Arabidopsis thaliana: one gene and its partners. The protein of the gene in region 2 binds, or shares a complex with, the protein of the main gene of each other region. Each region holds a gene or a part of one and is shown on either strand. Other genes may lie near its edges.

Evidence for each region.
Region 1: AT3G58580 (region 2) and AT1G27890 share a complex: the UniProt entries of both Arabidopsis thaliana proteins name them as parts of the CCR4-NOT complex.
Region 3: AT3G58580 (region 2) and AT3G18500 share a complex: the UniProt entries of both Arabidopsis thaliana proteins name them as parts of the CCR4-NOT complex.
Region 4: AT3G58580 (region 2) and AT1G06450 share a complex: the UniProt entries of both Arabidopsis thaliana proteins name them as parts of the CCR4-NOT complex.

What each region holds. Positions count from the first base shown.
Region 1 is NC_003070.9:9,711,443-9,718,428, forward strand, and holds AT1G27890 (Polynucleotidyl transferase, ribonuclease H-like superfamily protein), read right to left. Parts: upstream 3,735-6,986; 5' UTR 3,603-3,734; coding exon 2,694-3,602; downstream 1-2,693. Other genes in the region: AT1G27880 (DEAD/DEAH box RNA helicase family protein), read left to right, coding at 2-46, 133-227, 313-442, 584-682, 802-857, 955-1,057, 1,505-1,633, 1,719-1,888 and 3 more; AT1G27900 (RNA helicase family protein), read right to left, coding at 4,173-4,320, 4,429-4,604, 4,737-4,897, 5,096-5,165, 5,515-5,665, 5,779-5,902, 5,986-6,078, 6,254-6,468 and 1 more. UniProt on the Arabidopsis thaliana protein: Ubiquitous transcription factor required for a diverse set of processes. It is a component of the CCR4 complex involved in the control of gene expression.
Region 2 is NC_003074.8:21,658,987-21,668,174, forward strand, and holds AT3G58580 (DNAse I-like superfamily protein), read right to left. Parts: upstream 5,110-9,188; 5' UTR 4,712-5,109; coding exon 4,554-4,711; intron 4,360-4,553; coding exon 3,612-4,359; intron 3,520-3,611; coding exon 3,433-3,519; intron 3,352-3,432; coding exon 3,268-3,351; intron 3,192-3,267; coding exon 3,105-3,191; intron 3,008-3,104; coding exon 2,921-3,007; intron 2,812-2,920; coding exon 2,758-2,811; intron 2,663-2,757; coding exon 2,571-2,662; intron 2,476-2,570; coding exon 2,361-2,475; intron 2,275-2,360; coding exon 2,124-2,274; intron 2,029-2,123; coding exon 1,880-2,028; 3' UTR 1,612-1,879; downstream 1-1,611. Other genes in the region: AT3G58570 (P-loop containing nucleoside triphosphate hydrolases superfamily protein), read left to right, coding at 217-384, 544-657, 752-1,366; AT3G58590 (Pentatricopeptide repeat (PPR) superfamily protein), read left to right, coding at 7,276-9,188. UniProt on the Arabidopsis thaliana protein: Acts as a catalytic component of the CCR4-NOT core complex, which in the nucleus seems to be a general transcription factor, and in the cytoplasm the major mRNA deadenylase involved in mRNA turnover.
Region 3 is NC_003074.8:6,348,743-6,357,193, forward strand, and holds AT3G18500 (DNAse I-like superfamily protein), read left to right. Parts: upstream 1-3,729; 5' UTR 3,730-3,801; coding exon 3,802-4,114; intron 4,115-4,288; coding exon 4,289-4,458; intron 4,459-4,528; coding exon 4,529-4,594; intron 4,595-4,759; coding exon 4,760-4,812; intron 4,813-4,905; coding exon 4,906-4,987; intron 4,988-5,074; coding exon 5,075-5,164; intron 5,165-5,460; coding exon 5,461-5,553; intron 5,554-5,636; coding exon 5,637-5,669; intron 5,670-5,756; coding exon 5,757-5,863; intron 5,864-5,954; coding exon 5,955-6,066; intron 6,067-6,143; coding exon 6,144-6,229; intron 6,230-6,325; coding exon 6,326-6,410; intron 6,411-6,495; coding exon 6,496-6,555; 3' UTR 6,556-6,704; downstream 6,705-8,451. Other genes in the region: ASPG1 (Eukaryotic aspartyl protease family protein), read right to left, coding at 348-1,850; AT3G18510 (ATP-dependent helicase/nuclease subunit), read left to right, coding at 6,969-7,076, 7,147-7,242. UniProt on the Arabidopsis thaliana protein: Acts as a catalytic component of the CCR4-NOT core complex, which in the nucleus seems to be a general transcription factor, and in the cytoplasm the major mRNA deadenylase involved in mRNA turnover.
Region 4 is NC_003070.9:1,962,232-1,969,263, reverse strand, and holds AT1G06450 (Polynucleotidyl transferase, ribonuclease H-like superfamily protein), read right to left. Parts: upstream 3,425-7,032; 5' UTR 3,341-3,424; coding exon 2,258-3,340; 3' UTR 2,045-2,257; downstream 1-2,044. Other genes in the region: ACD32.1 (alpha-crystallin domain 32.1), read left to right, coding at 358-480, 636-752, 843-1,038, 1,286-1,400, 1,497-1,661, 1,920-1,956; AT1G06440 (Ubiquitin carboxyl-terminal hydrolase family protein), read left to right, coding at 4,359-5,531; FTSH8 (FTSH protease 8), read left to right, coding at 6,739-7,032. UniProt on the Arabidopsis thaliana protein: Ubiquitous transcription factor required for a diverse set of processes. It is a component of the CCR4 complex involved in the control of gene expression.

The DNA of each region.
Region 1 (6,986 bases), on a different chromosome or scaffold from region 2:
GGTAATACACTTCAGCGTGCCAGGCAGTATGGAAGAATACGTTCAGGTTAAATTTTTTTTGGGTTTTCCTTCTTAAGCCTAGTGATCAGCGTACATATAACATTCTCGAGAAACTAAATGTCTTTGTTACAGGAAATTGGACGTGCTGGTCGCGACGGGCGGTTGTCATATTGTCATCTCTTTTATGATAATGACACATATCTAAAGCTTCGGAGTCTTGCACACAGGTGATTCGTGTGGGAACTATCAACTGTCATGGCATTGAATTAAGAGGATTTTAAGCTTACCTTTGTTTTCCCCCTTCTTGTTCAGTGATGGTGTCGATGAATATGCAGTTGGAAAATTTCTCACCCATGTATTTTCCACTGAGACAAAGCAACACGAGAAGATATGCTCGCTAGTCATTGAATCTGCCTCTCAAAAATTTGACATGAAGGAAGAGGTATTTAAAAAAACTTAATGCCAAATCTTGAAACCCGTTGTTCTAACATTTATATGATCAAGTGTCTGATCTTGTGAGATAGTGGGCGGGAAAAAACGTTGTTATAGACAATATTCTAAATTTTCTCTGTGGATCTGGCAGGTTATGCAAACGATTTTGACACATTTGGAGCTGGGGGAAGTGCAATACCTACGTATGCTTCCACAACTCAACATATGTTGCACTTTGAATTTCCACAAGGTAGGGATTAGGGAAGCTGTAGCTGAATAATTTCCTGTTTAGTGAAAAGGCCCATTATTTTTTAATGGTGTATGCTTGAGACCTCTGATGCTCAGAACATTGTTATGCTATATGTGCAGTCTTCTCCAAACACTCTTGCTGCACGAAGTGCCATAGTTGCAGCAATTTTGAAGAAGTAAGTGTATATTCATTTTCTCCAGCTTTTCTGGTCAAGCGATTCTGTAGAAGTATTAAAGTTGCAGCAATGCTCAAGAATTTTCTGTTGTTTTTAGGTCTCACGTGAAGCAAGGGTTACATGTCTTTGATATACCAGCTGTGGCCTCTAGCATATGTGTTGCAACAACAGATGTCTTGGCTGAGATTCAAGCTCTGAAGGTTAATAACACTTCTCTCTCCAATATGAATCTGTGGCTTAGTACCAGATATCTCAATTTTCATTTCATCTTAATAAGCATATTTATCTAAATAAGCGAGCCATGATTGAATTTGCACGGATTAAAAGTGACGAAGAAACTTAAGTCCACAGCAAAGAACTGATAGACACATAAATTACCCTTAGGAATATAACTATAGTACAATATAAGAAGATATACTTAATTAGTATCGTTTTGTGATAAAGTTTGGTTCAATTTTTTCTATGGACTATTGATGTAGGGTTTACTGAGAAAATACAACTGTACTGAGGGAAATGTATCTAAGGGTGGATCATATGTCATCTATTTGTTTAATTGCTTGTGTTCTGTTAAGAACTATTTCGTGTGTGTTCCACTTGAATCCTAATTATCTTCCTGATTTCTAATTAACGATGTTGAGTACTTGTAGATGAAGGGGGAAGTAACATACGAATTGAAGGACTCCGCCTTTTGTTACACAATCTTAAAATCTCCAAAGGAAATATGTTCATTGTCCAGTCATCTAACCAAGTGGCTCACAGAGATTGAAAGTTGCAAAGTAAGTTCTTCAATTTGATCTACTGCATAATTTAAGTTCCAACGCTTGTGCTTATATGTAGCAATAATTTTTGCTTCTGATATAGGTGAGAAAACTGGATATTATGTCTAGTGCAGCTGTGGCTGCGATTAGTGTCTCTAACACTTCAGAACTGAGTTCTGGTGCCAAGCAAACTCGGAGCCTGCAAAGCAGAATCTTTGATTACTTCAATGGTGATGAAAAGTGTGACAGTCCGAGCAAGGCTACTCAAAATTGGTACTAACAAAATATTTTACTTGTTTTCATAGATTCCAAATTTCGATTATTGCATAGCGAATAAGGAAATATAAAACTGCGGTTGTTACATATTATTTGTTTGTCAAAGTCATCTTTCCATTAAATTGATCAACGCTTGTATTGTGGATGCAGCGCCTTTCTACGAGCAGACATAAAGGTGAAGATCCAAGAAGCCACACTGTTGTTCATACTTTATTGTTTTGCCATGTATCCAAAGAATGTCCAGTTAACTATTGTGTGTCAAAACAGGTGTTTTTGCAGAGTAATCGCCAAGCCAAATTCACACCAAGAGCCATCGCGAGAATAATGCACGGAGTTGGAAGTCCAGCTTTTCCGAATTCAGTCTGGTCCAAGACTCATTTCTGGTATATTCATCATCATCAGCTAAACCAAGCCATGCAAGTTATTGTTTGGTGATGGTACATGTGATTTAATTGAAATATGGCTTTGCAGGGGAAGGTATATGAACGTAGACTTCCGAGTGATAATGGAAGCGGCACAAACAGAGTTGTTCAATTTTGTTGACAGGAACGCAGCTTTAGCTACATAACATAAGATTAGAGGCTTTGAGTAGATTCTTAGGATATTTAAATTTATTTGTATTGTATTCTAGATTCATTGAAAGTATCCAGTAAAGAGAAATTGTGTCATATGAGAGTTGAGAGAATTGTTTTGATCGACAAGAAAAGATGAAAGTTAATCTTTAGTATTTAAAGAAACATCTGATAAAACTAGAAATTATACATAATAGCAGAGCAAGTCATGTTAAACAAACATTCAGGCATCACAAAACGTAGTTCCTTCCTTGGACCGGCATCCCAAAGTAACCACCACCAAAATACGGGTTCGGGTGATGAGCAGCAAACATCACCGATCTCGGTCTCGGTATAGGTATCGGTATTGGGATGTAACATCTAGTCATCATAAGCTGCTGCTGCTCTAGTTGATATTGCTGATGATCAACTCGTCTTACACACTGCTTTCTACTATTGAGCAAATCGAAAGTCAACTTAGTGAAGACACGAGCCGTCAATTCACTGTCTGAGCCAGCGTGATGAGCTTTTCCAACACGTTTCATCTGCAACACATCAGCTATTCTCTGTAGTCCGAATCGGCTACTTAGTCCGCTGCATGATTCAGCGATTTTCTTTACGTCAAAAACAAACTTTCCCAAAAGCTGCTCGACGGTCTCGTGAAACTCTTCCTTAGTCTCCGGTAACGGTTTCCCTCCCGTTAAGCCTTTAACGAGATAAGCATTGTCGTAAGAGCCTTGAAAATTCACCCAAGTTATCTTTCCGTCCTTCTCCTTGAGAATCTGAGAAAAGTCTCTAAAGAATTCTTCGATTCCAATACCTTCCTCTCCGATCTTGTCCAGATTGAGACCATTGCTTTTGAGAAAAGCTATGGACTTATCGTTTTTGAAGCACTTATGTTCGTTGAAATCTGACAAGTTTATTTCCCAGGTTTTAGTGATTCCTCTTCTGTCGAATAGCGTGAAACCTAACTGGATGAGATGGGTGTTGTCCACATTGAACTTCATGTCTCTGTAACGAATTTCCTCACTCGCGTCCATCGGAGTCTCCTTTAAGCATCCGGGAAACTCTGTGTCGATAGCGATGGAACTAAAATGTTTCAAACAATCTCTTATCGAATCCATCTCTACTTCCTTGTTCCATCTCCAAACTTCACCCATCTCTCTCGGATTTTGAAGACTGAAACAGTTTGTTTATCTGAAATACTAATCTCTCTCTCTATCTGATTTCGGAGACTCGAATACTAATAGCAGTGGGAGTTTCCTTTTTTCTTACGTCGCCGGAAAGTTTCCATTTTTTTCCAGTCAAAAAGTTCGTGTTGACTTTTATCACTCCTAATTTAATTCTTGTTGGACACGAGATTTCCATTTTCCTCTCAAAAGCCCAAAATAAGAGAAGCCTGTTTCCGAAGCGGTTTACAATTTTAATACTAAACCGAATTAAATCACTAAACCGAAGTCTGACTAATACCAAAACCTTTTTCTTTTCTTTTTTCGTGTAAACATTATCATCTTTTAAACATAATACTAAGAACATACCAAATTGGGTTAAAAATTTAAAACTCATGTCGAATGAGAATAAAGAAAAGTTTAAGTTGAGCCAAAAAAAAAAAAAACAGAACATACAAAATTTGAAAATTGTCTCTAATAACAAATCTTCTACAGAAAGCTTCTCTTTTCTATTCTTTATAGGGCTAGTTGAATCTTGTATTTATGTTTGAGACATCAAATTTATTTCTGTCCTTTACGAGCAAGAAAGCGTTCTCTGGCTGCTTCAATCCGACTCTCAACATTTTCAGAAACTGCAGGTGTTTCTGCATTGTTTTTAGACAACTCCGTCTTCTCCTCAGGTACTTTGAAAGAGGGAGCCGGTCCACCGCTACATGGCAGATTAAATGATACCGATCAATTACTGAATCCAAGACCAGACAAGAAAAAGCTAGAACAAGACTGGATTGAACTAGTAAAGAGTAATGTTTGTTTTTACCTCAATTTTCTGACATTTAATTTCTCGATCTTTCTTTTGATGGGAGCCACCCATGCCATATCTACTGCACAAACATTCCGCATGAACGGACGTGTGGTGGAAATCAGCTCATGGTACACTACGTAGTTAGGCATCATTCCGTCATTGTCGGCACTCAATACAGATGATGGATGCACCTAGAATCAACCAAAAACGTCAATATGTCGATGATCATACGAAACTGGAAATGCTTACATATCTGAGCTACTGATGTAATAGAAAATCTAACACTGTAACAGATAAATGAGACTTGGATTGAGAAGTAATGCCTGGACTAGCTGGGACTGGAAACTAAGAGTCCGGTATCCATTGTGACGAAGCATTCTCTCAGCAATTTGGTTTGCATTACCAACGCATAGAGCTTTCCTCAACTTCCTGTAGTCGTCTCGGCTTGAACTCTTCCTACCATCTGCCCCAACTTCCAATCGATCTAGTTTGTCAAGGAGACCAAATATTTTAGTGACGGTTGGTTAGGTATGACACAGCCACCTATCACATCTCACAAGATAAAAGAGTGATGTTGACATAAACTCTGGTTCTGTTGGAGGCATAACCATTTAGGGTGAAAGCCATAGAGAAATAATTATATATTCTTTCACGGAATCTTCTTGTCATGAAACAATCTAACCTTTGGATATTTTCTGCATAATCTGACATAACTGTCTTCTAACATCTTTGACAAACACCATCCCTCGCACCTGCAAATTATTTTTCAACAAAAGTTATCTTTCTTATTGGCATAAGGAACCCACGTAATAATGTACCGAAATAGACTATCTAAACAAAGGTAGTAAATTTCAGTAACTCCCATAATTGTTGGTTATAAAACTGTATGAAGCAGAAAATACAAACATTGACGCCCATCGGAGTCAGGTCTCAACAATGAAGGGATTTTCTATGCTATATAGATTGTATTAACTGCAGAGACAGCATATAACTGACCACCTTCTGAAGTAACAATGCAGTAAGGCTTTTGATGTCACCATGCTTTTCACTTGGAATACTCGAGAATAGATAAGGAAGGAAGGAAGAAAATGGAACAATTACCTGCATGCCGTTCTCTTTGCACCATACAGGATCATAATTAGTACGGTCCCAAGATTCGAAAATCTGTAGCAGTTGAATGTGATCACCATATCCGGATCCATTAGGAAGATTAGAATCTTCATCATGTTTCCTCTTCTTTTCACTGGGTTTACTATCATGCAAGCAAAAACCATAAAGACAAGAGTTGACGCATCTGTATCTAGTCAATGTGATTTTAAACATTTCACAATCTGACCCAGGTTATTGTATATCGTAAAAACTAACCTCCTAGCAGGAAGAAGAGTTGTCTCTGCTGACAGCATAGCAACAACTGTTAGAGCTTGAGATAAGCAACCGGTTTCATTCGCTTCTATCAATGTTCTTGACAATGATGGTTCTAGTGGAAGATCTGTTGAACCACAAATATGGTCAGTATGAGATAGCAGCTCAAACTAGAAAAAATCAAACAGAAGAAAACTGCGCTAAACATACCAGACATTGTCCGTCCAATCCTTGTTATTGCTCCATTCTCATCAATTGCATCAATGAAATACAATTGCTTCAACGCATCTTCTAATGACTCAGCTGAATATTATATGCAGGACAAAAACCAGAGATATATTATATCACTGGAAAATTCAAAAGTATCACAAGCAAAAAAAAGAAAAACAGCAGTTTGTGCATGACAAACCATCAGTCCATTGATTTTGTAGAAAGCTTTATAAGAGACATTAAACTCCGGATAGAAATAAGTTCTTACATGAAGGAGCATCAAGAAAATCGAACTTGAGAATGTCAATATCAGGAAGATCCAATGATTTCAAGTATAGAACACTCCCGGCAAGAGAAGTTCGTTGGATTTCAGGAATAGTTGCATCAAGGAAGTCATCTCGGTAGACTGCCAATGGGTATAAACGATAACATTTCCCCGGTCTTGTTCGGCCAGCACGTCCAGCACGTTGGTTAGCTTGCACTCTGGAAAAACAAAGTGAAACAGAAAAATATTCAAAGTACAGTTAGCAAATAGGAGCTTGATGAAAACCTGAGTAAGAAACCACTGGGATTCCTGATTAAAAAATGTAATATCTGAATCTGATGAGGTCCTATTGAACCAATATAATTCCTTTTTGAGCCAACTGCGGATATCTTTACTAGTTACGGCTATAAATCATCACACATCAACTACAAGTTCATTATATGCACCAATAGATTATTACAAGGTTCATATTTAGCAAACAATCTAATGGAATGAATGAAGGTATTGAACCAAGATTCATTTGCTTACTTGCTAATTTGAATAACATCAAGAGAAAACATTCCACTTGATGGGTTATATTGTCTTTGCTTCACATACCCGGAATCAATTACATACCTGTCAAAGAAAACAGACTAGGCTGAGAATGCTATCGATCTCCAAATTGTCAAAACATTATCAGAACTTTGCTTAAAATGCAGATATGAACAAATGATACAAACAAAGACGACTTTTGGCA
Region 2 (9,188 bases):
GGTAGGTCTGGGAAATGAGAAGGATGATCGGTACATAATCTTGTTTTCCTTTATTACTGGAGGGTTCAATTCGTTGTCTAAATAATGTTTATTGTTTAAGTTGACACTACCAAAATTTTGGCTCTTAAAATTACAAGATAGAAGTTGCGTACTGTGCAGCAAAGGAATCTTTTACATTCCATATGCACTTAATTATGATTTTGTTTTTGTGTGCAGAGACTTGCATCTGATTTTCTTTCAAATTACATATTTCTGGCTGTTGGAAGAGTGGGTTCAAGTACGGATTTAATTGTCCAAAGAGTAGAGTTTGTTCATGATTCTGACAAAAGAAGCCATCTAATGGACCTTCTTCATGCCCAGAGGGAGAATGGTAACCAAGGAAAGGTAATTTAAATCAATATGATTGGTTTCATGGTTAAAAGTGAACATAGTCAGTACTATTGCTCCTTTCGGTTTCACGATTCTGTTTCATTGTCTCTTTGTTCTATTTGATGCATTGTTGTTCAAGAGCACCTTTACAATCCAATTTATTTTATTCTACAGCAAGCTTTGACTCTAGTTTTTGTGGAGACAAAGAAGGGAGCTGACTCTTTGGAGAATTGGTTGTGCATCAATGGTTTCCCAGCAACGACCATTCATGGTGATAGGTCACAACAGGTTAGTGAGTTGTTGATATCAAAATTAGGATATTGTAGAGTATTCTTCAGTGCAACCAAAGCTAAAACCTTATTGTATTTTTTATGCATACAAGGAAAGAGAAGTGGCACTGAGATCATTCAAGACTGGGCGGACACCTATTTTGGTTGCAACCGATGTGGCAGCACGTGGTCTTGACATTCCGCACGTGGCTCATGTAGTGAACTTTGATCTACCAAACGACATTGATGACTATGTCCACCGTATCGGACGAACAGGACGTGCAGGAAATTCAGGACTAGCAACTGCTTTCTTCAATGACAACAACACAACAATGGCCAAGCCACTGGCTGAGCTAATGCAAGAAGCTAACCAGGAGGTCCCTGACTGGCTGACTCGATACGCATCTCGTGCTTCATTTGGAGGTGGTAAGAACCGGCGGTCTGGTGGACGGTTTGGTGGTCGTGACTTCAGGAGAGAATCTTTTAGTCGAGGCGGTGGTGGTGCTGACTACTATGGTGGAGGTGGTGGATATGGAGGCGTTCCTGGTGGTGGCTATGGAGCAATGCCTGGTGGGTACGGACCCGTACCAGGTGGTGGATATGGAAATGTTCCGGGTGGTGGTTATGCACCTTATGGTAGAGGTGGTGGTGCTTACTATGGTCCTGGAGGATATGGAACCGTTCCTAACCAAGGGTATGGTCCTGGAGTGGCTAGTGCGTGGGACTAAGCTTTAACTTCAATTCTTCAAGAACCGATTATGTTCTCTTTCTCTCTCACTTATCTCTATTGTTTATTATTAGGGAGCAGCCACAGATGTGTATGTTTGCTCTTTAAATGGTTATGTAGTAGACACGAATCGTCTCTTTGTTCAATGTGAAAAAAGAAAACCCCCTAGTAGACCCATATTATTCTCATGAGCTATTTAGTCATACAAAGCAGTTCAAACATTAAAATTGATCCAAGGAAAAGAAAAGTCAAAGGGTTTTCACTATATTGAGGATCAAAATGAGATATAAAAGGAGGTTTAGACAGAGCCACACAGGGGTCATAATAAAGAATGACCAACTTCATAGAGTGGTTTGCCTTACTCAGAATCCCTTTGAATCTTTGTGTCATCTCTATCACAGATTTGGTAAAGGTTTCGTCTAAACAGTTGATGTCATAGTCTGATCAAAGAAGAAGATCGGAACAAAAAAAAAAAACCTATCTGTAAGCAAATGATGGTGGGTGGTGAAGGCGGTTAACCGCGTCTTGTCCTAGGCGTGCATCGAAATTCAGCTAAGAGAGCAATGTGATTAGAAGACCATTCTGGGGAAGGAAGAGCTGTGTCTTTTCTTAATCCATCTTCATCCAGTAATTCCAATAGAGATTCCACCATTAATGTATCCGCTGAAACCCAAACACAAAAAAATCTTCCAATTAAGTTAACTTGTTATTTCTGATGTAGTTGAAAACAAGGACAATGGAGTTAAAAATGGTGAAACCTGTGTAGAATATGTAGTCATGAGTGCCGATGAAGTCCCTTGTACAATTGGTAAACAAAGGCTCGTTTGTATTAAGATCTATTCTCCTTCTGTGTTGTTCCAATCCAAGACCCATTATTCCCTTTCTCACAAACGATGAGTACGCGCTCACCTGAAACCAATTCATTTATCAAATATCCAAGAGAGACGCAAAGATAAGCGGTATAAATTTACTTAAATCGAAAAAAGCAATGTTACCAGAGGCAATTGATGAGTCAATTTGGTGTGAGGACGCAGGATATTAAGGGGATCGACTGCCAGATCTGGGTGCATTGGATCAACCTTTCCCATTACAAGAAGTGTATGAGGTGCACTGTCATAAAAATGCCAAAAAGAAAAACTTTAGCTACTCATAAGAGAATTCTGCATTTCATGTATCATGTCAAAAGAATTTATGAATCAACAAACCTCCCAGGAAGCGTATTGAAGTCTCCACACACAAGCATAGGAATATCGGCACTAGCTGCTATTTTCTCTAGTCCCTTTAATAAGGTATGAACCTAAACGCAAAAGAATAAAAGAAAACATGAGGTGAATACTAATTCTTTCGAGTTCAATGAAATTTGATTTATTTCGGATATAGAGATACACCAACCTGCCAGAGCTTCACATCCTTCAGATCTTGTTGAACATTTACATGTGTGTTTGCCTAAACAAGTTGCCACAACAAAATAAGAAAATTCATTGGCTTTCACTAAAAGAGCATATACAGAAACTAACAGTTCTCATGAGAATGGAAAAAAAAAAAGAACCAGTACCACACAAATAAGCTGGCGCTTCCCAGAAGGATCAGTAGGTTGATTACCAAATTTGGCTTCAAGAACAACTATCAACGCAATGTTATCCTACAACATAAGAATCATTGGTTTCAGTTTTGTAAACAATAACTCTCTGATAATCAGCTGTGGCCCAGAAAAATATTGTATACCATGTCAAAAATACCTTAACCAGTCGGTTTAAAGCAGTTCTCTTCTGAGCCTGAGGGATTAGAGCGTCAGTCAAAGACTGAGCAGCCTTGTTGAATTCAACCTGGATTTACAGTCCATGAATTAGTATAGAGATCTTACTGGATCTAGCAAGTAAACATATAGAACTGAATACAAACATCATATTTCTTGACATGCGAAAACCTATCCCGCCGGAAAAATGTTGCACAGCCGTCAATGGCACTTGTACTTCCGCTGAGAACCTAGCAACAAGAAATTTGTGGTTAATAGATTTTAAAACATAAATCACTGAAGGAAGGAGTGTGTGGAATCATTGACCAAACCTCATTAGTCTTCCTCTTGTAAAGAGCTTGATACCCATGCTTATCCAACTCAGGAGCAAAAATTTCATGGAAATGATCACTTTGTACCTGCCAGATAACAAAAAAAAGAACACATTAGAAGTAGATTTTTCAGAATTAAAATGCTTTAAATCATTACCAAGTCCATACGAATAACATACTTCTTGCAGGCAAACTACATCGGCTCTATATCCAACAATCTCCCTTAACAAATTCTGTCTTCGGTATGGCCATGAAAGAGCCCAAGGAGGACAGTAACTGTAGAGGTCGCTACTTGCAGAAGTATCAGACAAAATGTTATATGAAAGAACAGTGAATGATCCTGCAGACTGAATCCGAGCATCTTGATCTAAGTGACCCATCCCATCAGCTCCGTTAACAGGGATTAGCTTACGGGGGCTTGGAGAAGGAGCAGGAATAACCCGTGAAGTCAAAATGGTACTAGGATGTCCGACAATCTGTTTAGTCTCAGCATTAGCCACAACACACTCGAACTTCAAAACGTGGCTAATATCATCAGCTGTTGGAGTGTACGTTTTGCAACCCCCAACCTCAACTAAAGTCTCTCCTCCATTTTTCTGAGTAATATTAGAAGGATAAAACGGAGCTGGACCATTGTTGGCAATACTAAGATTTGACATAGACCCAGATAAGGAACCAGCGAGAGACCCAGAACCCGCACTGTTATTCCTGTTCAAGTCATCATCCTCGTTTGCGTTGTTTTCCGCAGCTGCTCGCTCGTGCAAAGTCCTGTGATGCTGCCACGCATCCGTGAAGCATTTTGGCGAACAGTGATAGCTTTTTGGAACAAGGGATCTACGCTTAGAACAGAAAACACACTGTAAAGTAGCTTGTTCCGTTGGATGCACACTGCAAATCGTTACTTTCTTATCACTCTGTACACGATACCTACAACAAATAAATCCAAAAAATGAATCTACAACAAGATCAGAACTTTACACACAAAAACCATTTGACGACCTAAATCAGAACATCTACATGAGAAATCTCTGAATTCAGATCAAAATTCAATCTTTGATAAACCCCAATTCGCCAAATGATCCAAGAAAGCAATTAGACAAAGAGCCAATCAGAAATCTAACCATCTGTATCTCAAGAAGTAGCCTTCAAGAGGAGCAGATTCAGGGACGTCATCAGTGGTGGAGTTCTTATCGGGACGACGAACAAGGACGTAAGGAGTCAATTCACAGCCCACAATGGGAATTTCAGAAGGAAGATGCACTCGGATCACGCTCAGCATTGCTTTTCAATAACACCTGGTGATTGTCGAAGAACACTATCGAAGCAGCAGCAGCAGAGATTCAGAATCGAAGCAAGACCTTGATGATGATTATTAGATGATGAATATTGTCGTTGATAACCTAATGAAGTGGAGCGTACGATAGGCTGATCCACCATTTACTTGAACCGAAAACCCGACCAATCTCTAGAAACCCTAGAAAATGTCTTCTTCAGACAAGGTTGAAGATCCGGCAGAACCAAATTAGAATCGAAGAAAAGAAAAAAAGAAAGGAAAATGATGGTATCGAGAAAGCTTATAAGAGATGTGAGATCTTGAAGGAATTTTGTATTAAGGATCGATTCTTTCGCTGTGAATATGGAAAAAATCAATGAAATCGATTTTGGTTTTTTTATGTGTTTTTTTTCCCCGAGTGGGTTTAATACTAAAACTATTATTTTGTGCTTTGAAGACATTATTATGAAATTTTATAATATTTTAATTGATCTTCCTTTTCGATGAAAATTTTGGTTTTGGCGCTCAAAGATTGAAAGTTTTTCGTTTTATTTTTGTTTATATAAAGATAAAATTTTAAAATCTAGAAAATGCGTAAAAACAAATAATCCACAACTAAACATGACTTACCAAAGACAAATCAAGATTTATGACTCGTACCATTACGAAAACAAGATTGGTGACTTAAAAGAAGTGTATTTATATCTATGATAGATTGAAGAAAGAAGGAATGGTGAAGATGAGTCAATAGGTGAGTGTTCAACGCACATTCAGTAGGAGCCAGGAGGTGTAGTTTCTTCGTTAAGATTAAGAGACAAGAAATATCAATTCGTGATATAATTATCTTGAAGACGATTTGTTGCAGATTAAGGTAGAATTAACTTCTTCTTCTTTTTTGTTTTTTTTTTAAAATGTGAGAATTACCCAAGAAGAGCAGCATAGTTTATCAATTCAATTGATCTTCTTAAGAATTGTTGAATTTGTCAAATTAATGAAAGAATCACATTTTAACATTGTCAAAATTGTCATGTTCATTTTCGCTTTTGTTTTCGTTTTAGCTAGTTCATTTGGTTTTCATAAATATAAGCGGTTCAAACCTGAAATAATTAAGGTTCGAATTATGAAAATTTTGTTGGTTTTTAATAAATTTAGGTAGACTAAATTTCATTCTTTTCAGGTTTACTCAATTTTAAAGTATAGAAATTTAAGATTTATATCTAACTTTTGTTGTATTTGATATGAAAAGTTATCGGTTTGTATTTTACCGAATTTAGATAACTATTTACAAATTATTATTTTGAACTAATTATAGAAAACAAATACAATGCGTGTCCAGTAAATCAAAGTTGAGAGATTTCTTTCTCGTTTTTAAGCATTCAACACAATTTTTTCTATTTGTTATTTCGGAGGCCTGAGTCCACATTTTATATGAAGCATAACATGGAAAATAATAATAATTATTATTTTTCGAAAGCGATCTTTTCCAAACAAAGAAGCCTCAAACACTATATACGCTACAAAATAACATCTCGACCTTGTAACAAAGAATGCATTAGATATTTTTTTTTTTAATCAAAATTGTTGAGATGAGCAAAAGCACAGAACGTATTCAACTTTTCAAAAGGGTTGTGGCAGCTGAATATTATTTGTTCTATGATGGTAACTAACAATTTGTTTATTTTTTGTTCTTTATAGTGAAATCTTTTGATTTGATTTTTCTTTTTGTTGTTGTTAGTTTTGTTGGAAGCCGTCAAAGACATACAAAAATTGAAAGTTGATCTAACGATAGAAGAGAAGAAATGCTTAGAAATGGTAAATGAGAATCTATTTAACGAGACAGTAAAGATACTAAAACCGCTCGAAGATATGGGTATGAGGTCTGAAGAAACAATCATTATAGATGATAATCAAAAGATGATTAAAGAGTATTTGGAGGACACCTTCATAGTTTGTCATAAAATATGTAAGGAGATTCAAAAGTTGGGTATTTGCCCTTTGTGAGTTAAGTACTCTTATCGTCCTTTTTCTCTAGAGATTTGGAGGGTTTTTCAATATGAATTAGATATGTAAACCAATATTATTCAAACATGAGGTATAATCTAAAAAATGTGAAAGGAAAGATGGAAGGGATGAGGAGAGCAACCTTTTTTATTAATGATAAAATTTCATTGGAAATGATAAACAAATTAAATTATGGAATAAAAATAAAATTATTCAAAAAAAAAAAGTTGAGTTGATTTTGGTTCATTTAGAAAACCATAATATTAATTCGATTTTCTTTTGTTAAATATGGGCCAATTTGAAAGATCTTATTTGTAAAATAATATGGGCCAGATTGGTCAATTGGACAGATAAAACCGTGATACTGTGGTTGAACCAGCCGGTGCGGTCTAGATCAATTATTTAGTTCCCTGGTTCTGAACTTCAAACTTTGTTCTTGATGTTTATAAAAATCCGAACTTTTAAAATTTCAGACCTTTATTAGAACTTTCTTCATGATGCACGAAACTTAGTTCTTAATTATAACTGAGATCGATCTGGGAAGTACTCTGTTTTCAGTATCCTTCTGCATGAGCCTCAGCTGTGGAGATCTCGCCAATCACAACGATCGTGTAGTTAGCTTACTCAATGTCTGCAGAAAAGCTCCTTCCTTTGCAAGGACCAAAGCTCTTCACGCTCTCTCCATCACTTTATGCTCTGTTCTTTTGCAGCCAGTTTATGTCTGCAATAACATTATCAGTCTTTATGAGAAGCTTGGCGAGGTATCACTTGCAGGCAAAGTGTTTGATCAAATGCCTGAGAGAAATAAAGTGTCTTTCAACACGATCATTAAAGGGTACAGCAAATACGGGGATGTTGATAAAGCTTGGGGTGTGTTCTCTGAGATGAGGTATTTTGGATATTTGCCGAACCAGTCAACAGTGAGTGGTTTATTGTCCTGTGCATCGTTGGATGTTCGTGCTGGAACTCAGTTGCACGGTTTGAGCTTGAAGTATGGCTTGTTTATGGCTGATGCATTTGTTGGTACTTGTTTGTTGTGTTTGTATGGGAGGCTTGACTTGCTGGAAATGGCGGAACAGGTTTTTGAAGATATGCCGTTTAAGAGCTTGGAAACATGGAACCATATGATGTCTTTGTTGGGGCATCGTGGTTTTCTCAAAGAATGCATGTTTTTCTTCCGTGAGCTTGTTAGGATGGGCGCTTCTTTAACTGAAAGCTCTTTCCTGGGTGTATTGAAGGGTGTATCTTGTGTAAAGGACTTGGATATTAGCAAACAGTTGCATTGCTCAGCAACGAAAAAAGGGTTAGATTGTGAAATATCCGTCGTTAACTCTCTCATCAGCGCATATGGAAAATGTGGCAATACGCATATGGCAGAGAGAATGTTTCAGGATGCAGGTTCCTGGGATATAGTGTCATGGAACGCCATAATTTGTGCAACAGCCAAAAGTGAGAACCCGTTAAAAGCACTCAAACTCTTTGTGAGTATGCCAGAGCATGGGTTTTCCCCGAACCAAGGTACATACGTTAGTGTTCTTGGTGTCTCTTCTCTTGTGCAGTTACTGAGTTGCGGACGCCAAATTCATGGCATGCTAATTAAGAATGGCTGCGAAACTGGCATAGTTTTGGGGAATGCGTTGATTGACTTTTATGCTAAATGTGGTAATCTGGAAGATTCCCGCCTATGCTTCGATTATATACGTGATAAGAACATTGTTTGTTGGAATGCGCTGCTTTCGGGTTATGCCAATAAGGATGGTCCGATTTGTCTCTCTTTGTTTCTGCAAATGCTTCAAATGGGTTTCAGGCCAACTGAATATACTTTTTCGACGGCCCTCAAATCTTGTTGTGTCACAGAGTTACAGCAGCTGCACTCTGTTATTGTGAGAATGGGATATGAAGATAATGACTATGTCTTAAGCTCTCTTATGAGATCCTACGCCAAAAATCAACTGATGAATGATGCTCTTCTTCTGCTGGATTGGGCTAGCGGGCCAACTTCGGTCGTCCCATTGAACATTGTTGCCGGAATCTATAGCAGAAGAGGCCAGTACCATGAATCTGTGAAGCTGATTTCGACACTAGAACAACCCGACACTGTATCTTGGAACATTGCAATTGCGGCCTGCTCTCGTTCTGATTACCATGAAGAGGTTATCGAACTTTTCAAACACATGCTTCAATCAAACATCCGCCCTGATAAGTACACATTCGTTAGTATCTTAAGTTTGTGTTCTAAGCTCTGTGACCTTACTCTTGGGAGTTCTATTCATGGTTTGATCACCAAAACAGATTTCAGCTGCGCTGACACATTTGTATGTAACGTACTAATTGACATGTATGGGAAATGCGGAAGCATTAGGAGTGTAATGAAAGTCTTTGAAGAAACAAGAGAGAAAAACCTCATTACATGGACGGCATTGATTTCGTGTCTTGGCATCCATGGATATGGACAGGAGGCACTTGAAAAGTTTAAGGAAAC
Region 3 (8,451 bases), about 15 Mb from region 2:
AGGACATTAAAGGGCCACAACAACAAAAGTCTGTTTGTTTCTTTGAAGACTAAACTTTTGTTACAAAAAGACCCTTCTTTTTTGTAACTTCTTACTTTATTGACTCTTCTTCTTCTTCACTACTGAAAACTTCTTGCTGAGACAACAACACTTTCAACTTTATAATAAAATTAATTAATCCTATTATTATTCGATAAAAGACGACAATAACTTATGATTAATTAAAAAAAAGGTAGAAAAATTCACACTTAAGGATTTTGTTTTCATCTTGTTACCGTAGCTAGCTAGTACCATAAAAAGTTTTACTGATTACCCGTAAAACTATTAATTTTTCTACTTTGACATGTTTAGCATTTATTCCCTGACAATCCGATAACATTTTTGGATAGATCGTAAGTGATACGTGTCCCTTGCTGCTGCACATTCCCGATGATCGACAACGACGACGACGTCGGAGCAAAAGCGAAGCAAAACGTTCCACTATCATCCACAGGGATCAGATAATTCTTCGCCGGCAAATCAAGCGACTTCCCTCCCGTGAAATGAAACGCAACCGTCGGTACTTTCACAGTGGAGAGAGACGAGAAATCGTAACACGTGTCGAACAGAGAGATGCTCGAAGATCCTTTTTTGAGATTCACGGTGAGTTTAAGAAACGCGTCACGCAGCGAGTTATAAGCCTGCGTCTGAAGACGAGTCACGGCGGTTCCACAATCCAAGATCACTCCTCCGCTTCCCGAAGCATCGACATCGAAGATCGCATCAGGCAGCACGACTTTTTCACCACCGACGCTGAATCCACTGAGTCCGACGTAGTAGAAAGTGTCGATCTTTTTGTTACGTAGAAGCGGCGCCGTCGCGTCTCCGCCACCGAGTTGGACCGAGTTGAAATCAAGACTTGAGGACTTTCCCGAGTCACGGTCAACGAGGCAGTAAGAAAACGACGTCGCTTTCATTTGATTGGTTATCGATAAAACACCACCGCCTAAACCGAGTAAACCGGCTGCTCCGGTAAAGAGACCTTCGTTGTCGTGACCACAACCCAAAGCGACGTTGTTTATTTTACCAGAGTTACCAAACGTCACCGTATCGGTAGCGAGTTCACCGACGGTGAAAGATCCGTCTCCGTAACTAACTTGGTAGAGACATTTGTTTGACCGACAAGCGGAGGTTTCGAGAAGAGAGCACTGTGGAGCAGAGCAAGTGAGAGATTTGTATGTGGAAGACGAAGTCGGGTTAAAAACCGGGTCGGACTGTTGGTAACAGTCGGCGCAAGGTTCACACTGGATCCAATTTACGTCGCTTCCGGTGTCGAGAACCAAGTACATCTCTTTCGCCGGAGTTCCGACACCGATTCTTGAGAAATACTCGCCGCTTCCTTGAGAGGCTCCGGAGACGACAGGTGTCGTTAGATCCTCGGTTTGGTATCGTGTATCTTCGTTGTAAACGGGTTTGAGATCGGATCTATCGACTCCTTCGACGGCGAAACGGATCTTCGCGACGATTCCGGCGACTCGGGATGAGTCGCGCTCGAGTCGACTGAGTGTTAAGCTTTTGTAGTCTTTGTGCTGTGACGCGACGAAAGTGTCTCGAGAGTGAAGCTCTAGAGATAGTGGTGAAGATGAATTGAAGAAAACCGGGTCGGATAGGGATTCGGGTTTGGTGGTGGTGAGTGAGGAACGAGTCGGGTCGAGTGAGAGGATAGTTTGTGTTTGCTGGAGAGATGAAACGACGTCGAGTACGTTCGTTTTAGGTGGAGTGGATAGAGAGCGAGAGGAAGCATCAGTGGTGGTGAGGAAAAGAGAGAGAGTGACGACGGCGAGGAGAGAAAGAAATCGCGGGAAAGCCATTATTTCCGGCGAAGGTTGATATGAGTTAAGTGGAAGAGAGAAAGAGTAAGTAATGTTTTTAATTTATAGAGAGAAAAATAAATGCTGCGGAGAGAGTCACGCCAGAATTGCTGCGGTTATAAAAGCCACATCAATTATTTATCATCCTGTTAAAATATTTGGATTCACATTATCATCGATCGGTAAAAAAACTTTATGGTTGGATATTATATTTTATATATACAAAAATAAATTAAATAAGAAGTCTTAATCTGGATTTATCATATGATTCCCAACATAGCGTTACATTTATACCGAATCAAATAAAAATTTAGACAAATGTAATTTGAGAATTGTGTTTATTTGTTATTGGCACCGAAAGAAGAATTTGTACTTTGTAGAATTCAACACAAAACTATAGCATAGTGTCTGTAGTCTGTACGGACGAGAGTAGAAACTGTAGAAGATAGGGATTTGACCTACTAAATATTTTAATACAAGTCTACAAGCGATTATCCAATATTAAGCTCCTAGAGATGTGTGACTACAGAGTACTTAAGTGTTTATTTATTGCAATGACCTTTGGATACAAAGTACTCCTATATTGTTAACCAATTCACTTTTAATTTTTTTTACGTGACCAAAGCTAAGATCTTATCTAGAAAACTAAAAGCTTTCTGTCCTTTTGTTATATTCGGGCTTCAAAACTTTGTACCTTCTTCTTACCATCGCTGTCGAGAGAAAAGTCAGCAGAAGTTTTGGAAACTATTAGTTATAGGGATCGAATTATCTTAATCATCTACGATCATGTCATTTTGTGTTGGATATTTGTTAATGCTTGTACATTTCTAAAAAAACATGTGTTGTATATTAGCTAATGTCAATATGTGGTGCATATTTGCTAAGTTGCCGTGGAAATAACAAAAACTTAAAATTTTGCTAAGTACTGTACTTTTTTTTTTTTGTGATTGCAATTTGCTTAAGGTGATTGATGAACGAAGGCTATATGTAAAAACTGGAAAGGAGTGAATCAATGTGAGAAGTGGGTGAGTTGTTACTTCGTTAGAAGAGAGATTTGGGTTTATTTCGCTTTCCCTGAATTAATGGTAACGCACCCTTTTGGCTTTGGTTGTTGCGTGTCATTTATTTCTCTTTTGTTTTTAATCTTGTTATATCCATTTTCTTATACCTACTTTACTTTTTTTCCATAAAATGAGATTATGCAATTCAATCAGTAATGTTTTAAATCGCATACACTTTTATATTTAACAATATGCCTTCACTAATTTGTATTTCAAGATTAGTTAGTGATATTTTATAGTAAAGTTTAAAGAACATTATAATGTAGACGCAATCATAGAGTTTTTCTTTGTCAAAGGCAATATTGCAACAAAAAAAAAGGTAGAAACGAAGACATTTTTTTTTTTGTGTGTGTAATCAGTAATCGCCTTACACAAAAAGACATATACTTTTTTGTGTAAGGTTTTTTTTTTTTGAGCTACTATCACTAAATTTGAAATCAAATAATTGATACTCCAATAAAAGTAGAAATAATATCATAGTATATGAAAAAACAAAAAAAAATTACAAGGACGATGAAAGAAAAAACAAAATCTCATAACTCAAAATCAAATATCATCTCCAAGTTCTTAACATGATAAAACTAGACTAAAATAAAAACTGACATCCTACTAAAATTAGAAACAAAATGACATAAATTGAAATCAAACTCACAAAAAAAAACAATAGACATTAAAACAAAAAATCCGAATAACAAAAAACAGGATCTCAGCTAAACAAGGCCTGGTGTAGTATACTAGTATTGGCCCATGGCCCATGGTTTGGTATTTTTTTTTCTCTGACCAAAGGAAGAAAAAAAAAAAGATATTTATCCGTATGGCGCCAAGAGGTTTGTGTGGTTTTCGATTTCATCCAAATTTCTGAATTTCGTCTCTAACATCCACAAAATCGAATGCGTTGTGTGAATCGCGTTGATTGTTCTTGGTCACGGCCAAGCGAAGCTTACCGTATCTTACCCTCCGGTGGTCACCTTTCATCTGGATTCCATCAATGTCCTTTATCGTCTCTATCTTTCCGTTCCTCTTTCGTGTGTTGCTCCTCCTCCACATCTGGACCGTCCGATTCAAATCCCGAATCATCTTCAAATCGCTCTTACAGCCGTAGATGGCAGAATCCTCTTCCCCGGCGTCAACATCCCGATCAAATACCGTCTTCTCAGATTGCTCGTGATTGGATCGATTCAGATACAACTCCAGTTTCTCAAGGTAGTTTAATAATGATCTTATGGAAAAACTCTGCTCTTACTTATGAATTTGTGAACTAGTTAGGATTTAGTAAATTAGAGATATTAGTAATAGCTTGAGTTACTGTTTGTCCATGAAGCTTGTGAAATTGTGGATGCCTTTGGATCTTACTAGTGTGTCTCTATGTAATATTAGCTTTAGAGAGATTCACTGTAGTGTCGTACAACATATTGGGAGATGGAAATTCATCATATCACAGAGAGTTGTACTCCAATGTGTCTGTTCCTTACCTCAAGTGGGGCTACCGCAAAAGGTTGATATGCGAAGAACTCATTCGTCTCAATCCAGACATAATCTCTATGCAGGTAATGAACTTTACCTTGTTTTATATCGTGTTAAGATAGTTAAGTTGATTTTGTTTGTGGACCTTTGTAGGAAGTAGATAAATATTTTGATCTATTCAGTATGATGGAGAAAGCTGGATATGCTGGCTCCTATAAGGTTGATGTATTTCCTTGTTCAATGAAAAATTTTATGCTTATAAGATTAATGGGGTAAAATGTAAGACATGGTTTGTCGGTTGGTTTTATTTACCTTTTCGTCTGAAGCCTCAACAAAAGTTGTGTTTATATAGAAGGACTACAAATATAAGCTTTGCAATGGCAGCGGCGAACTGGAGATAACGTCGATGGTTGCGCAATGTTTTGGAAGGCTGACAGGTAGCACATATTGTTTGACTCAATCTGTATTAGTGTGAAGAAAAACGACTACTACAACTCAGCATTGTTTAAGATTTATCTTGTTTTCAAAAGGTTTGGAGTTTTGGAGAGGGAAAACATTGAGTTTAGCCAGTTTGGTATGCGGGATAATGTTGCACAGCTTGCTGTTCTTGAGGTAGAAATTTTTTTTGAATGTTTTACGAACTTCTTTTTTCATGTATATGCTTTGACTGATCCAGTTTTTTTTTGGGTTTCCCGTCAGCTCCGGAAGTCTAATAAGTCAAGAAAGATACTGCTGGGTAACATTCACGTGCTTTATAATCCAAATCAAGGAGATGTGAAGCTGGGTCAGGTAAGCCTCGACATTTCAATTTGTATATCCGCTACACGAGCAATTGACTGTCATGAAAGTTTACAAAATGTTGATCTGGCCCTTTCACCTTTGGCTTTAAGACTTCAGGAAATTGTACTGAATCTCAGTCAAGAGATGTTTACTAGCATTAGTTTAAATATCTAAGACAAGTCTAAGTTACTAGTATATGTCATGACATGTTCATTAGTATATGTCCTAATGCTCATGAAAACGTATTGAATTCGTGGCTTATGTTTTTTCTTGAGTTCCTGATTTGCCTTGTTCTTGACTGATAGGTCCGTTCACTCTGCTCAAAGGCTCACTTGCTCTCTAAGAAATGGGGTGACATTCCCATTGTTCTATGCGGAGATTTCAATAGCACTCCCAAGGTACGTATCTTTTCAAATAAACTCTTCCACTTTGGTTTGTGTATTTGTTTATTCATTGTTTGAGTTTATCTTATTACGTGTAGAGTCCATTGTACAACTTCTTGGCGTCCTCTGAGGTATGACTATTCATAGTTTTGCTTCAGTCAAACTACACTGTGTCCTCTTGTAGTTTCTTTAAATAGGATTATGCTTCTATCTTACAGCTGAATGTCATGGAACATGACAAAAAAGAGCTGTCCGGCCAGAAAAATTGTCGTCCTACCAAAGTTCTTGAAACTGGTAGCAAATCCAGTAATACAATAACTTTCAGGTAAGATTGTTTTTTGAAGATTTAATCAGTTCTGTGAATGGTTGTCTTGTGACTGCCTGCTGGAATAGCCATTGTGTTCACACACTAGTAGAAGTTTTTGTAGCTCTTGGACAAAAGAAGAGATCCGTGTCGCAACCGGGCAAGAGAACTCGTACTGGGCTGCGCATCCTCTGAAACTCAATAGCTCATACGCCTCAGTTAAGGTAACAAACAAAGCTTTAATGTCCCTGTCTATATATGACAAGACCTTAAATTTGCTCATGAACATGGTACACAACAGGGCTCAGCAAATACCAGGGACTCTGTTGGTGAACCTCTAGCAACCTCATATCACTCGAAATTTCTCGGAACGGTTGATTATCTCTGGTAAAACATTCTAAACACAACCAAAACTCAAATGGACAAATTTAATATTTGGCTGATGAAGTAACTAATTAGAAATACATGTGTGGTCTGGTTAAGGTACTCTGATGGTCTTTTACCTGCAAGAGTTCTTGACACACTTCCTATTGATGTTCTATGCAAAACCAAAGGCCTTCCTTGTCAAGTATGTCTTTCTATCAAACAGTTTAGATTTGGTGAGGTCATTTCTATGATTGATGCTTAAAGCCTTATTCGTCTTTGGTTTGCAGGAATTGGGAAGCGATCACTTGGCTCTTGTTTCTGAATTTGTCTTTGAACCGGACGGTTAAAGGCATCTAGTGCCAGCTTAGTTTTCTTTGAACCGAACCGTTATAAATGTGTTTTTATTAAATGTATAAGCGTACCGAAATTACCTGATCATGGTTCTATATCAAACCGACTTCTCGATAAATAAATAAAAATTGAGACGATCAGAAGCTTCAATCTTGTGTGCGTATTGGGTCACTAGGATATTAAATCGACTTCTTCGAACGTAATTTAAAGTGAGAGAACCAGTTTACTTGATTCTGGATCTAAACCGAAGCGGACATAAGCTTGGTTTAAATGTACCAAAAAGAAAGAATTGAACCAATTGGTACGGTTCTAATCTTGGTTCCGGTAAAATGAAAAGGAATTCTAAAGAGATTGAGAGCTGTAAAGTTGGAATCGAAGGAAGAAGAGACAAGAGAAAGTGAGGAAATTAATGGCGTTGAGCTCAATGACATGGGGTTACGCACGGATCATAGCTGGAACACTTCTCGGCGGGGCCCTCGGATTCTACGTAATGCATCGCATCGAAGTTAGCTACAAGGTCTGTTTCTTCTCTCTGTCTTCCTATGAGAAAGCTTGTGCTCGACCTTAGACTGTTGGGTTTTACGCAGATGAGGATGGAGGAAGCGTTGAATCAATACGAGAAGGATATGCAGAAGAGACAAGAAGAAGAAAATCTTATTCAGATCAATGAAGAATCTGTTTAGCTTATTTCTTGGTAGCATGCCTTCAAAGTGTTCGATGAAATGCCCAACAGATGTTTGATGCTGTTTTGACTTTTTTTCTCTCATGTATTTTTCGGTTTGGTTTGGTCTGGCATTATGAAAATGTTTCATTTGTCTTTGGTTTAATAACTATATACCATGATGGTGGACCAGAGAAGCAGCCATATTGAGCATTATATGTATCTTTCATCTATTCAAATGTTTCTTAAAGAAACAACTAAATCCTTATTACATCAAAATTGCTGTTCCATCCAAATCCTTAATCAGTTATGTTTCTGTTGTTGTTGTTGTTGTCGTTGTCTGTTAGAATGTGATGAGGATTTGATGTATTAGCTACATAACTTTGATTTTGGAATGGTATAATGGTTTTACTAAGCTAAATTTTTGAGAGATGTCAGATAGAAAAAGAATTAACTGGGCAAAAAGCATATGGAACCGATCCAGCTCTTTTGGACTTTTAAAAGTGTTTAGTCGGGTTCTGTCTTCTTTTTAATTCTAAAAGGTTTCGTAATTATTTTCTTTTCACCAGTTCAACTTAAAGAAACGCCAAAACAACAAACAAAAAAATGTCTAGATTTTGGTGTTTGTGCTCAATGAAAGAGTCTTCATTTCGTAGGGTCAACCCAATTCCTGATTTTTCATGGTAAATTCCACACAAAGAGGACATGTCCAAAACAGAACATTAAATATTAACATGAAAGAGACAGGAGAGTTATGTTGTTATTTTTTTGGGACCAAACCATAATTGCAGAACAATACTAGTAAGTATTACATAACTGTTTCAGTTTAATTACGTTATCATGGCAAAATTCATTTTTCTCTCAAGAATTGAATCATCTATGTATTTTAAGTCTCATTTTTTAGTTTAATAATTAGATGCAAACTGGTAGGGCTGATGAACCAGTGAACACATAAAAAGGTTCCACAACTTCCGACCCATATAGTTCGAATTACAAAATATAAAAGATGTCCTACTGAACAAAAATAGAAAAACATATTAACCTATTAATAGAATTCTCATATATGTTCGGTTGAGCTGCCTTCGATTAGGCAGATTAGGAAAAATAGTCTTTTGAATTCTCCTATAGAAGTGTTTTATATATCTTATGGATTTGTATATCCAGCCTGGTATGAAATATCTGTCCTAAAATGAATTTGTGCTACGTTTATTAAGGTTAGTTTGCAAAATAG
Region 4 (7,032 bases), on a different chromosome or scaffold from region 2:
AGACCCCAAGGATCCGACGGTTTTCGAATTAGACTTTCTGTATTTCGTTCTCCTATGGTTTCTTAACTTGGTTAGATAGTTTTTCTGATCCCTTGACCGATCTCGAATCTCGATGTGGATTTACTTGCAAAATTGGAGCAGATCGACCAAGTACAAGAACAGTTAGTCTGATTCATTTTGGCTTAAACCTTGATTTCGTTTAAGGGTGTTGCAATGGAAAGCTCAAACTGTTCAATTATTGAAAGTCATATCATGCTTATGGATGTGTTTTTTTATACTTGACTCTGCCTCAAATAGGTTGGTTCACTGATTCCTTTATTTTGGTCTAATGGATCTCTTATTTGTGTTATGCCTCAGAACTGCAGCAGCAGTTTGAACACTGTCATCCAAAGGTGTGACAACAAAATCTCTTTTGCCCGGCAAGCATCATCTGAACAGGGCTTTTTTATGAGGCCAGCTTCACCCGATGATGTCCTTGAGGTACCATAAGTTTTTTATTATGTTTTGAAGTCCCTCCTCCTTCTTCTCTGGTCACTTACTGTCTAACTACACTTAGTTAACAAAGTCATATCTGTACTGTAATGTAAATATGCCCACACCATTAACCTCTTCTGTCACTTGTGATGATGATTCAGAACTTAGGTATGAATTTGAAGAACACTGTCGTTAGAAGGGGTGACAACAGGCTGTATTTTGCTCGGCAAGCATCTTCTGCACAAGGTTTTTTTATGAGACAGGCTTCGACTAATGAGGTACCATTAATTTCTTATTATTATTTTTCAAAGTTTCTCTTCTCATCTATACTTCTGTAAAAGAGAATTGATTCAAAATGTTTTTTGCAGAGGACCATACCACATGATGCTGCTGCATCTACCAAGTTTTCTGCTACCAAAACAACTGGCTTCGATTCTTCTTCACCTGCGTACGCTGCACCACACTTTTCTAAGCCTGCAAAAGAGGACATCTTTTTTCCTTCTTTATCACCAAATCTGCAAAAGGAAAGGCCTAAGCTTGATCTTCCTAAGTTAGCCAATTTAGGTACGAATACAAATATAGGTGTATTCCACTCCAATAACACTACTTTTCTAGTCCTATTATAACCTGATACTTTTCTTAGAGAACTTAATGATTTCTGTAGTTTACAAACACACAAATATTACTAGGTATAACTACTAAAGGTGGTTTCTCACCAGCCTTGATCTACAGAAACTAGCATCCGTACTTCAAACAAATCCGTACAAATGAACATGAGAACTTACTTAAAGAAGTTTTTTTCCTTTTGCAGGTACTGTTTGGTCTCCCAGATCGAATGTTGCTGAATCGACACACAGCTATGTTGTGGCAATAGAGCTACCAGGAGCCAGTATCAATGATATAAGAGTGGAGGTTGACAACACAAAGTAATCCTGCTGATACACATCTTTTTTCAATCTGTTCCCATTACTCACACAGTAAAAATGCATTGTGTAACAAAGGTACTTACCGTTCTGCTGCAGCTTGACTGTGACAGGTAGACGCACATCTATCTGTCAAAAAGTTGATGCAGGCACCAAAGCTTCGATCCTTGGATATCATAAGCAAGAAATACTACAAGGACCATTCAAAGTTTCCTGGCCACTCCCCAGCAATGTGAACAAGGATAATGTTTCCGCTGAATTTATGTAAGTAGAAGCTATACTTACTAACAATCTAACCGTATGATCAAACAACTATTCTCCTTAAATCTTTCAATCCTAGAGTTCATATGATAGATTCTGCCTGTAGGTTTTAGCTAGTAGTGCACACCTAAAAAGTAGTCGTTTTAGAATCCAATTTTACATCTTAGTGCCAGTCAGTCATTAGCTTGAATTAGTTTAGATAGAATTTAGCAAGTTTTATAAAGAGCACTAACATCCAATTTATTATTGCGTTTGAAACAGGGATGGGATTCTGAGAATAGTAATTCCAAAGCTTTGAGGGTTCATCGTTCTGAAACCATATATAGATACGGTAAACATTGTGTGTGATATAGCAGTTTGTGTGGAAAAGAAAAATATCAAATCATGAAGAAAGTTTGGTCTTTTATGTAAAATAGTTTGGTCTTTTATATATCACAGATTGTAGACAGGCATTACTCAAAGTGAAGCCATGTAAACAATCCATAAATATATAAAAATAAAATCTTCATTACTACTACCAAAAGCCAGAAAAGAAAAAGAAAAAAAAAAGAAAAAAGCTCAGAAGCATCTAATCATCCTAAAGCTGGGGAAATCTCAATCTACTCAACTACGTAGCAAGCATTATTGTTGTAATAATTAGGAACTGGTCCAAGATAATCAACAGTAGCAGATGGCGTCTGAGACGGGTATGCAAAAGTGCTTGCAGGTAGATGAGTAAGCTGCACATACGTACCGGTAGCATTACAGAACGCCCATGGGGCACCTGAAGGATCGTAGGAGACAAGCTGAGGCTGCTCATAGTTCTGGACATATCCATTGTGGAACACAGGATATGAAGCTACATTCTGCTGGCACATCAAAGGAAGAGTCGGCTCTGGCACAGGCGCAGGGGCAGGGGCGGCAACGAGGTTGCTTTTCCCAATTCCATAGATCAATCCTCTAGCAAATCTGGAATCTTCATAGACATGTTTAAGCTTGATGAAGACAAGTGCAGTCATTAAGCTGTCTGAACCAGCGTGATGTGCTCTTCCCACACGAGTGATCTGAAGTAGCTGGGCTAGTTTGCTTAACCCGAGGTGTTCACCTAGTCCTTCACAGAATCCAGCCATGACCTTGGTGTCGTAAACTTGACCGAACACTTTGACAACCTCTGTTGCAAACTCGCCGTGAGTCTCTGGTAGCTTGCCATGATTGAGGATACTCAAGAAGTAAGCGAAATCGTAAGCTCCTTGGAAAGTGACGAACTCAACGTGTTTCTGAGAACGAAACACAGTCATAAGCTTAGGGAAAAACCCGTAGCCGAACATATCAACTCCTTCGTCTCTAATCTTCTGCAAATCCAAACCATGCCTCCTCAAGAATTCGATGGAAAGCTCGTTGCGTGTGTCTGATGGGTCGCCGAAATTGGAGAAGTTAATCTCCCAAACACCACCGATCTCTCCCTTGGCGTTGAAAAGAGTGAAACCACACTGGATCAGCTTGGTGTTCTCGACATTACCTTTCATGGCTCTGTAACATTCGTCGCTAGAGGAATCGAAATAAGTGCGGAAAATAATGCCAGGGTACTCTGTATCGAAAGCGATGAGTGGGAATCGCTTGAGACATTCGGCCATACGAGCCATCTCTTCATCGACGTTGCTTCTCCATACTCTCCTCGCCAGCGGTTGATGAATCTCGTTCATGATGATGATTTCTGCAGATAATAAAAATTAGGGTTCTTTTCTTAGGAGGGAGAGGCATGAATACGAGAAGTCTTTTTGGTTTGATTGATTGTGTGAGAGCATTAGGGTTCTTTATAAAAAAAAAGAGAGTATTTATCCTTTTCTTAAATAAATTCGTGTACCTGAGTTTCCTTTTTTCTCGGATTTTTTCTAATTAATTAAAGATACATAGCTTAAGCTAATAGCTTGCTCTCCAATTAATTTTAACGCGGTGTTGATCATGACGGTTTATATTCTCTCTGATTATAATTTTATTTGTTAATTTAATTTCTGTTAAATTTAATTTAGAAATTATCTTCTTCTTTTTTAATTTTCGTTAGGAGTTAGGAAATTCTTGTAGTTATCTTTTACTTTTTGCTACTATATGGTGCTTTTACTCTCTTTTTAACCAATCCACAATTTCCTTTTTCCGTCCCAAAAAGTAAATTACATATAATTAATAGATAATGGCAAAACTTCCAATACAAGTATTAGATTAATATGTAAAATGAGTATCAATTAGTGTTTAAACTTTTGATTTTAAACACTAAGAACTTGAATGGTTATTGTTATTAGATGCTTTGACACTAATTATAGAAATCGCATCATACCATTTTAATTCTTTGTAAGTCAAAAACTTATCCATAACATTAAAATATTTTGTTTTATAAAACTTTATATTTGACAGCATTTATCCTCTCATACCAAAAGTTTATGATATCAAACTAGTATAATTATTTACTAGGCTAAACTATTATTGTATGTGTTTTATTAGTTTAAATAAATTTTATAGCGGTAATTGATTCGCTTATAGATGTGTTTTGGTCTTGGACATGAAAATACAAAGGTCCATATAATTCTTCTACTTCATTTTTTAATTTCGTTTTTTCCCTTAATGCCTGTTAGGTGTTCGATATAATTCCGCAGAGAGTGTGGGTATATACAGCGACGTTGTGGAACGCGGAAACTCAAAATAGCTCCATATACTCTTTGAGATACTATGAGGTTCCTCCTCATGAGATCACTTCTGGTTCACCCATGTGGTGGCTCCATCATCAATGTCCGATCAACGACTACGTCTGCTCAATATGTAGCTTCCAGATCAAGAGACCCTGTTTTCGAGAAGCTCATGGACAAATACAAGAACCTTCTCAAGGTCATTGCCATACAAGACCTTACCCTCGCCAATCCAACAGCTGATCCTCCCTCTCTATCCATTGAGTTTCTCTCCAGGCTCTCCCAGAAGCTCCACCTTAATCGTGGCGCTGCTTCTTTCCTGCGAAAGTATCCTCACATCTTTCATGTCTTGTATGATCCTGTGAAAGCTGAGCCCTTTTGCAGGTTAACTGATGTAGCCATGGAGATTTCTCGCCAAGAGGCTTTGGCTATCACTGCTACTTTGTCTCTTGTTGTTGACCGGTTGGTTAGGCTCTTGTCTATGTCCATATCAAAGTCCATTCCGCTTCGTGCGGTTTTTAAGGTTTGGAGAGAACTTGGGCTCCCAGATGATTTTGAGGACTCTGTGATCTCAAAGAACCCTCATCTTTTTAAGCTTAGTGATGGTCATGAATCCAACACCCATATCTTAGAGCTGGTTCAGGAAGAAGAGAAAAGACTGGAATTTGAGGCCGCGGTTGAGAAATGGAGGGTGGTTGAGTGTTCTAAGGAGGATTGCAGTGTCGATAGAACCGAGATTCAGTTTAGTTTCAAACATAGTTACCCACCAGGAATGAGACTGAGCAAGACATTTAAGGCTAAAGTTAAGGAATGGCAGAGGCTGCCTTACGTAGGGCCATACGAGGACATGGTTGGTAAGAAGAAGAGTAGATCCGGTGTGATGGGAATAGAGAAAAGAGCGGTTGCGATTGCTCACGAGTTCCTGAATCTGACTGTAGAGAAGATGGTGGAGGTAGAAAAGATCAGCCATTTCAGAAAATGTTTTGGGATTGATTTGAACATAAGAGATTTGTTCTTGGATCACCCGGGCATGTTTTATGTGTCAACTAAAGGGAAAAGACACACTGTCTTTCTCAGAGAGGCTTATGAAAGAGGACGTTTGATTGATCCAAATCCTGTTTACGATGCGAGGAGGAAGCTTCTTGACCTTGTTCTCTTGGGACGCCATGCTGCTTTATCAGAATCTGGGAACACTAGTATGTCTGAACAAGAATGACATTACGATTTTTCAGGCCCTATTGAGTCTGAGCTATGCAATCTTCCATATGGAAGTGTATGAGACACTTGAGAGATTAGGTCCACCAAGAATCAGGCAATGTTTCTATGGCGTTTGTCCGAATTTCGGACTAATTGGCTTGCTCACAAGCAAAAGCTCGAGATAATCTGAAAGCAGGAAAAGCGAGTTACTTGATGTAGCGTAAGTGAGTACTTGGATCAATACTTGTCTACGAAACCAATGTAGGAGTAAACGGTCTTTGTTGTGTACTTTTTTGGTTATGTATTGTCGACAGAAAGGTTAGAAACTAGTATCCAAACTCAATACGTCTTCTTTCTTTAGATTTTGCTTGGTTGCTAATTGCTTCATGTGGCTTTCCTTATTCTACTAAAACTCTCATCTTTGTTCTTGTTCTATTTTTTACTTTTACATCCTAATTTTTTTGAAATATTATTTTTTGGAATAAAATTTGAATTCTTTTTCTTAACCTTTATCACTACCAGGGTTTAAATTATAAGTTTAATTATATAATGTAAAAATTGTGAACGTTATTTATGTATTGAATTTTTGATGGATGGTTTTTGTGGAAAAAATGGTTATAGAAAAAATTGTGACAAGAAATGAGTGAAATAAAAACCGAGAGCCCATGAAAGGAAGCCACGTAAGCTGTTCGGAGCCACATCTCTTGTCTTCAAAAGTACCAAACTTCATTTGCTTCTCCAAACAAACAATCTCTTTCTCTTCTTCTGCCAAATTCCACAGGTGCGTTTCACTCTTAGCTCATCTGTGTAATCTCAAGCATTTTCTGCTTTGTTTGGTCTGAATTTCTGAAATCTTTTGATGATAAAAATTTCTATGAAATCTCGGTCTGCTTGTTGCATGATTCTTACTACCTGGGTTTTGTTCAGCAAGTCTATTTGTCTTTATCTGTTTTCTTCTTAATTTGACTTTAGGAATGTCTAATAATGGTGGATTCATGTGTTGAAATATAGACTAATGTTATATCCAGTGGCAATTTCTACAAATTTTTTTATCTTGGAGCATGAAAATGTTCCAATCTTTCTTCATATGCGTCGCTAATGATCGCTTATGTTGATTATAGTCTTACCAGAAACTTGCATGTTGTTAAAGGTCTCGTTTTGTTTGGTTGTTCTTTGTTCAGATTGTTTTTTTTTGTTCACGCCATGGCTTGTAATCGTCTGTGCAGATGGCTGCTTCATCGGCTTGTCTTCTCGGAAATGGATTATCTGTCTACACAACCAAACAGAGGTTCCAAAAGCTTGGGCTTGATAGGACATCTAAAGTTACAGTTGTGAAGGCTTCTTTGGATGAGAAGAAACATGAAGGGAGAAGAGGTTTCTTTAAACTCTTACTAGGAAACGCTGCTGCTGGAGTTGGTTTGCTTGCAAGTGGAAACGCTAATGCAGACGAACAAGGACAAGGGGTTTCTTCGTCTAGAATGTCTTATTCTAGGTTCCTAGAGTATTTAGACAAGGGAAGG